Linked DNA regions of Macaca fascicularis. The protein of the gene in region 2 purifies or fractionates together with the protein of the main gene of each other region. This does not show direct contact. Links are inferred from orthologs where the notes say so. Each region holds a gene or a part of one and is shown on either strand. Other genes may lie near its edges.

Evidence for each region.
Region 1: the proteins of POLR3D (region 2) and POLR3GL purify together in Homo sapiens (co-immunoprecipitation; 4 studies listed by BioGRID and IntAct, counting the BioPlex papers as one, with this or other methods). This does not show direct contact. The link is inferred for Macaca fascicularis from reciprocal best matches to the Homo sapiens genes POLR3D and POLR3GL.

What each region holds. Positions count from the first base shown.
Region 1 is NC_088375.1:113,441,640-113,445,083, forward strand, and holds the end of POLR3GL (DNA-directed RNA polymerase III subunit RPC7-like), read right to left. Parts: intron 2,368-3,444; coding exon 2,299-2,367; intron 1,957-2,298; coding exon 1,900-1,956; intron 1,663-1,899; coding exon 1,589-1,662; intron 1,458-1,588; coding exon 1,344-1,457; intron 1,059-1,343; coding exon 972-1,058; 3' UTR 607-971; downstream 1-606. UniProt on the Homo sapiens protein: DNA-dependent RNA polymerase catalyzes the transcription of DNA into RNA using the four ribonucleoside triphosphates as substrates. Specific peripheric component of RNA polymerase III which synthesizes small RNAs, such as 5S rRNA and tRNAs.
Region 2 is NC_088382.1:25,316,157-25,320,466, reverse strand, and holds the start of POLR3D (DNA-directed RNA polymerase III subunit RPC4), read right to left. Parts: upstream 3,108-4,310; 5' UTR 3,023-3,107; exon of another isoform or gene 2,986-3,022; intron 2,760-2,985; 5' UTR 2,755-2,759; coding exon 2,590-2,754; intron 991-2,589; coding exon 947-990; intron 362-946; coding exon 210-361; intron 66-209; coding exon 1-65. UniProt on the Homo sapiens protein: DNA-dependent RNA polymerase catalyzes the transcription of DNA into RNA using the four ribonucleoside triphosphates as substrates.

The DNA.
Region 1 (3,444 bases), on a different chromosome or scaffold from region 2:
GTGAGAAAGGCTAACTAAATTCCACAAAGGGAAGAACCAAAAGAGAAACTGCAACTCAGTCACACACTGGTTTCTGTAACTGGAGAATAGGATATTTAGGGGGGCTCACTCTGCACAGATATACCTTTCAAAGTGGCATCTCCAGGGTCTGGAAGAGGAGGGAGTATGGTGGATAAGTCAGCTCCTCCTCCCTCCTCATACCTGGTTTTCTTGACTTTTCCCACAAAAATTGCTGTAACCATTTTTTGTGAATAAGGACAAGACCAAGGTCAAGTGTGGGAAAGACAGGGTCTGTGTCCTTGTGAACATGTGTGAACAGACACAATCATGTCCTTGTGGCCTGATGACCAGAGGCTCAGAAGTCAGCTGGTCTGCAAGGGGCACAGACTGTTCTTCTCTACAACTTACTCTGCGTTGCCCTACAGATGAGGCCTTGAATATTCCTTGGCGGGGCTAGATTGTGAATATGTATCCCACCATGGGGGTAGAAGGGAAGGGACAAAGGACAAGCGGGCTGTAACCCTCCAGTGTATCACAGCACCCTGCTTAGTTAATCATTTCCTTCATTCCTCCAGCCCTCTATCACCAGGCCTCACCCACAACAGAGACAGATAAAAACACTTTATTTAAAAGTATAAAACCAGGCTTACTCCTTCAAACTGCTCCCATCCTTAATTATCTCCACAAAGAGCTATACAAATTGGGCAGGGGTACGTGTACAGTTATCTCAGCTCTAACAACCCCAGTTCTTCTTTCAATTCTCCTTTCTCCCTTCAGATAGCAGAGGTGATACAAACGTGGAAGGAGGGGAAGCGTAGAAAATAAACTGTCATCATCCTCCATTCCCATCTCCAGGGACCAGAGAGGTTATGTGAACTCTGACCAAATGATTTGCTTGTCCAAAAAAACAAATAACAGGGACAGTTACTCTCTGTAGCCTCAAGAAAGACACAAGGGTCCAGAGACGTTCTTCAGTATATAGCCTCGTCCATATTGTCATCACTGTCACCCCCAAAGTCCTCTCCATTGTCAAAATATGACATGATGTAATCAGTTTCCTGAAATGGAAAAAAAAAAAGTAAAAGTCAATTTGGCATTCACCTTCCTTCCTGTGTACCAGACCCCTCTCCTCCCAGTCACACCATTCCAGGCCTGAGACAGCTCTTCCAGCTGTAGTTTGGAGAAGTGGGCAGAGGGAGTAGAGGGAAGCCCCTACCCTGGGGGGCACTATCTCTGTTGGCATGCCAACCCTCTGAGGAAAGCATCCCTAGTATAAAGAGTTGAGATCCCCAGAGTTTCTGGGGTAAAGGGAGGGGGACTAAGGTGGAAGGAGTCCCCTTCACCTCTTCATGTTCTTCTTCATCATACTCTTCTTCTTCCTCCTCTTCCTTCTCTTCTTCTTCTTCCTTCTCCTCATCCTCCTCTGAAGTTACTTCTTCTTCCTTCTTCTCCAGGGTCTCATGTGGGGATGAATAGGAATAGAAATTCAGGTTCAGTTCACAGAAGGGAAAAATTGAGGCACACATGGGTCAAGAGAGAGGGAATGGATCCAGGGCTCAGAAGGTCTCTATGCACACTTCCTCCTCACCTCTAGTTTCTGTATTGTTTCCTCCTTATCTTCTGTGGTCTTAGGGGGCCTCTTGGGGAGCAGAATTGTAATCCCTGGTGGGGGGATCAAAAGGTGAACCATCAGAGAGCAAATTTTGCCAGCTTTATAGCCCATCCTCATGCAAAGAACATGTCACTCTGCTGCCCTCATGTGGCCACTATGACATCTAGCAACAACACTTGGTAGATTGGGTATAGGAACTGGGATGGAAAGTGAGACCAGCAGCAGCCTTGGCCCTCAGGCTGATGAAGGAAACCTCTCTTCTCCCTCCTTTTTCCAGATACACTTACGTTCCTTCTGTAGCTTCCGCACTCGGATCTTTAGCTCCCGGGGTAGACGCCGCCAATCTGGGAATAGTGAGAATGTAAATGTCAATAGGACCCTGCCTGGGCTCTCCAGTGAATAATGACTGGTTTTAAAGGGGGGATTGAGGGTTTTAAAGGAGAGGAAGGAAGGGGCTGGGTCAAAGTTGTTCAGAACAAAACTGTGGCTTAGATATCTCCTGAGTAGTGGGAACTATTTAATAGCTTTTCCAGGTAAAATCTGAGAGTGTTTTGGAACATAACTAAGGCTCTAGCTTGCAGATGCTGGATCAGGGAATGGGGTGGGGACATGGGCGTGGCGGAAATGGCTTGAAGCATCTCATGCATTTGAAAGAAAGGCAGTCAATGAACGAGCCCATCACCTACCAGGGTTCCAATCGATGGCATTGTCAATCGGACCTGACATCTGGTATTTGTCTGAATAACGCTCCACATCTGAGGGGTGGAAGAGTCAAAGTTTTATCCCTTGAGACCCAGAACAGGACTGTTCCTGAGAGTCCAGCCCTCTCAATACTCAGGAATTATCTGTTTCCTTACCCCAAACTCAGAGCCCAGGGGCTCAGCTTCAGTGAGGACCTTATCTCTTTTTTTTTTTTCTTTTTTTTTTTTTTGAGACAGAGTCCTGCTCTGTCGCTCAGGCTGGAGTGCAGTGGTGCAATCTCAGCTTACTGCAACCTCCACCTCCCAGGTTCAAGTGATTCTCCTGCTTCAGCCTCCTGAGTAGCTGGGACTACAGGCGCACATCACCACGCCCAGCTAATTTTTGTATTTTTAGTAGAGACAGGGTTTCACCATGTTGGCCAGGATGGTCTCAATCTCCTGACCTCGTGATCCACCCAACTCGCCCTCCCAAAGTGCTGGGATTACAGGCGTGAGCCACGGCGCCCGGCCCCTTATCACTCTTCTAACCTGTTTCTTTTCCACCTAAAATTATGATTTTTTTTTTTTTTTCCAGATGGAGTCTCACACTGTCGCCCAGGGTTGGAGTGCGGTGGCGCAATCTCGGTCCACTTCAACTTCCACTTCCCAGATTCAAGCAATTCTCCTTGCCTCAGCTTCCCAAGTAGCTGGGATTACAGGCACCTGCCACCAGGCCTGGCTAATTTTTTGTATTTTTTTTTTTTTGTACAGACAGGATTTCACTATGTTGGCCAAGATGGTCTCGAACTCCTGACCTCGTGATCTGCCCACCTCAGCCTCCCAAAGTGCTGGGATTATAGGTGTGAGCCACCACACCTGGCCAGTGTTTTTTTGTTTTGGTTTGTTTTTGTTTTTGTTTTTTTTGAGGCAGAGCCTTGTTGTGTCATCCAGGCTAGAGTACAGTGGCGAGATCTCAGCTCACTGCAACCTCCACCTCCCAGGTTCAAGCAATTCTCGTGCCTCAGCCTCCTGAGTAGCTGAGACCACAGGCTCACACCACTGTGCCTGGCTAATTTTTATATTTTTAGTAGAGACAGGGTTTCGCCATACTGGTTAGGCTGGCCTCAAACTCCTGGCCTCAAGTGATCCACC
Region 2 (4,310 bases):
TTTTTTGATGTTGATGATATGAGAAGGTCCCATGTCTGATACATCCACTGTCTTATCCCAGTTCCCTGTGGGAAATCACCCAGGTCACTAGGGATCAATAAGGAAGATGCCAACAGCAAGGAAAACTGAACTGGGAGCGGGGAAATTCCACTGCTCTCGCCCTTCTCTTGGGCAGTCTGAACTGAAATTCACTGATTCCTTCCTTGTACCTTTTTTCTTCATCATTTCGGCTGGGCCCTGCTCAAAGATGGAGTGAGACTGGATCACTTCTGGGCGGCCTCGTCCTCGTCCATGCCCCTCTCGCTGTCGGTCTCTGTCCCTTTCACGCTTCTCCTTCTTGACAGTTACTTCTTCCTTGGGCCTGGAAAAAAGAATGGATTAAGGGAAACCACTCACTCACTGTGTCTCCAAAAACTGGCCTTACTCTCCCATACCACTTCACTCCAAGACAGCGGAGAGTTTGAGCCAATAATTACACCATGAGAAGCAGAATCCAATCCTAATTCTAGCACTTTTCTCACTTCCTTGATGAGGCAGGATTTTTTCAGTTTGCTTTACTTTACGTTCTTGTCCAAAAATGTAGATTTTTGTTTGCATTGGGACTGAAAGCAGGAAGGCAGAAATGCAAAGGAACTTCAGGGAAAGCGTGATACATCTTTGTTTAAACTATTGGCTCTCAACTCGGGCCATCAAAGAGAATCACTCCATTCTACTGCCAACAAGTTAAATCACAATTTCTAGAGATGGAACCCTAGACACCAGTATTTTTTTTTTTTAAAGCTTAAACATTAGAATCACCTAGGAGCCAGGGTTGAAAATCACTAGTGAAAAGAACTAAAGATATAAATTTAAATTTTGGAGCCACAAACCTACTTATTTCTCCCCAAAGCCCCAAATTCAGAGCAAGTAAATAAGGGGCAAGTATTCAGAAGGACTAGCTACTTACTCTTCCTTGATCTTCCGACTGATGATATTTGGGGTGAAGGTTTTCTGAAAGCAAAATACAGGAGTCACTGATGTGTTAGGTCCTGATCCCAAAGTACAGAGGAAAATAAAAACTCCCAACGGGCATCTTCTACAGACCACGGCCACCATGACTCTCTTTGGCACATTCCACAGTGCTGTCAGTTTTCTAGATACACGTGTGCCTGAAAAGGAGGAACGTCATGGTGTGGTGGCAGTGGAGTTATGCATAGAAGAAAGGGGCACCAAAAACCATTTTTAACCAGCAGCCTTAGGAAAGAAGATCCTGAAAGAAGGTCCTCTGGGACTTCTAAAAGCAAAGGAATTTCTCTGGTCTCACCTCTTATCTTCAAACTGCTATAGAGACCAGTCAGTATCATGGGGGAACATCTCTAGCAGCAAGGCCTAAGTAGGGAAGGCCACAGATCTGCCAATACTCTCAATCACTGTTGGCAGTGTTTTTCCATATTTTCCAAGGCAAAGTTAGGTTTCTAAAGACTGCTTTATGTCCAGGCGTGGTGGCTCACGCCTGTAATCGCAGCACTTTGGGAGGCCAAGGCAGGTGGATCATGAGGTCAGGAGTTCAAGATCAGCCTGGCCAAGATGGTGAAACCCCGTCTCTACTAAAAACTACAAAAATTAGCCAGGTGCGGTGGCAGGCCTCTGTAATCCCAGCTACTCGGGAGGCTGAGGGAGGAGAATCGCTTGAACCCCAGGAGGTGGAGGTTGCAGTGAGCTGAGATGGTGCCTCTGTGCTACAGCCTGGGCGACAGAAAGAGACTCTGTTAAAAACAAAACAAACAAACAAAAAAAACTGCTTTATTTGGCCGGGAGCGGTGGCTCACGCCTGTAATCCCAGCACTTTGGGAGGCCGAGGTGGGTGGATCACAAGGTCAGGGGTTCAAGAACAGCCTGGCCAACATGGTGAAACCTTGTGTCTACTAAAAATACAAAAATCAGCTGGACATGGTGGCGGGCACCTGTAATCCCAGCTACTCAGGAGGCTGAGGCAGGAGAATCACTCAAACCCGGGAGGCAGAGGTTGCAGTGAGCCAAGATCATGCCATTACACTCCAGTTTGGGGGACTAGGGCGAGACTTCGTCTCAAAAAAAAAACCCAAAAACCTGCTTTATTCTTCTGTCATCCTGACACCACCCCTTTCTGGGCTACTCTTGACATCCACAGTCATATACACATGGGACAGCCCACAGAGCCTCGAATGCCATGCCTAGGATTCATGATACTCTAGATAACAAGTTTGCACACTGAGATGGTGAATTCTGAACGCTCTAAGACTGTGAAGTTTATGCCTGCCTGGCTTTCATGGGTTTCTTAAAAATGTCCAAACACACAATAAGAGTAAATAAACACTGTTCAAATTACTTTTGAACGACTTTAACTTATTAGGATTCTCTGTCTTTCAACCACCTCTGGGACTCATTTCAACATTTTGTACTCAGTACCTAGATTTGAAGATAGGACAGGCTCCCTAGAATTTAAAGAGGGGTAGGCTTGAGGCCCAACGACACTCCTGACACATAGTAGGCCCTACACAAACATCAGTTGAATGCCGGGGCTTGGAATTCAAGGTAGTTGAGTTTCTTTAGAAACGCGCCGTTGGATACCTTCTTGACTCCCCCGAGGGTGAGGTCCCTGGAACGGATGGAGGGAAGGCGGCCGGGGGTGAGGGGAGGCGCCGGCCGCCGCCCGATGAGCCCCCGGGCCCCAGTCAGGAGGGGTCGGGGCCCTCCCGGAGTGCTGGGCTCGCCGGCGGCGTTTCCTTCCGACATGTTGCCTGGGAGAGAAGGGGGGACGAGATTACCAGAGTGGACTGACACGCGGACCCTGGCGGAACCCAACCCCCTTGCTTTCCGGTCCCCCAGTCGGTGCGTCCCTCCAGTGGCCTCTCAGCTCCTCCCCTCCCACGTGGCGAGATTCCCGGGACCACCCAGGTGAGAGCCTTTGGCTCGCGACACGCCCTCTCTCCAGGAACCCCGCCCAGGAACCAGGCAGGGACGCACCCGGGCCGCGGCTCCACACCGCGCGTCACCACTTCACCTGCGACGCGACCCGCTGCCAGCTTTAGGTCTCCGCACCGGGCGGAAGTCTGCGTGGCACCGCCTGGGCGCTGCCATCTTGGCACGGGCCGGATGTGACGTTTCGGGGGCGGGACTGGGCCACAGTATTTATCAGGCGGCGCTTCGCTCCCCTCCGCCTTCTCTTCCCGGTTCTTCCCGGAGTCGGGAAAAGCTGGGTTGAGAGGGCGAAAAAGGATGAGGGAACCGGTCTGGGCTACGCTATGTGGCGGTGCTCGGGGGTCTTGGCCCCCGGGCGGTGGCGTGGAGGTGCCGAGATCAGGGTCGCGGGTCTTGTCGGCCGCCAAGCCGCAATGTGAGGCTTCGCCTCGGCGGAGCCCCTGGGAGCTTGGGGGTAGCTGCTCGGGATGGGACGAGGGGCGCGGCACAGAGAGCGAGACCTGGACTTAGAGTCGGGGAGTCTTGGGCCGTGCCGAGCCCTGTCTGCGGGTTCTCCATGGTGACCTTGGAGTGGTCACTACCTCCGGGCAGCGACCTCGCCCACTCTCGGGGACCCCTTCCCTGTGCTCCTGGTGGAGTCCTGGGGTGAGGCTGTGAGGGCAGCGTTGGAACAGCCGCAGTGGACCAACTGGTGCCCAGTCACACCCGCTTGGGATCACGAAGGCGGTGGCCCTCGGGTGCGCTCTTGGTCAAAGCCTGGACAGAATCGGAATACCAAGTTTGCTCTACTGCTGGAGGAATTTAAAGAACTTTTATTGACTCCAGCGTTTGTGATATAAAAAGTGTCGTTTAATGTTATCTCCCATCCCCCCAGACCGTATAAAAACATTATTACGGGGAGTTTGAGGAAAGGAAATCGTTTCTACCAGAATGCCACGTAGAGTACTACTATTAAAAATTTTGTAATGTGTCTAGTAGTCTTCACAGAGTTGTATCACAATTTCGTATCCTTTTTCTTTTCTTTTTTTGAGGCGAGGTTTCTGCATACTGCAACCTCTGCCTCCCAGCCTCAAGCCATGCTCCCACCTCAGCCTCCCAAGTAGCTGGGACTCTAAATACATGCCACCACGCCCGGCTAATTTTTTTTTTCTTTTTTCTTTTTCTTTTTCTTTTTTCTTTTTTTTTTTTTTTTGTATTTTTGGTAGAGACGGGATTTCACTGTGTTGCTCACACTGGTCTTGAACTCCTGAGCTCGAGTGATGCCACCCGCCTCGGCCTCCCAATGTGCTGGGGTTACAGGCGTCAGCCACTGCGCCTGGCCTGTATCCTGCTTTTTCAAATAACATTTCTCTGTTACGGCATCAAAGACT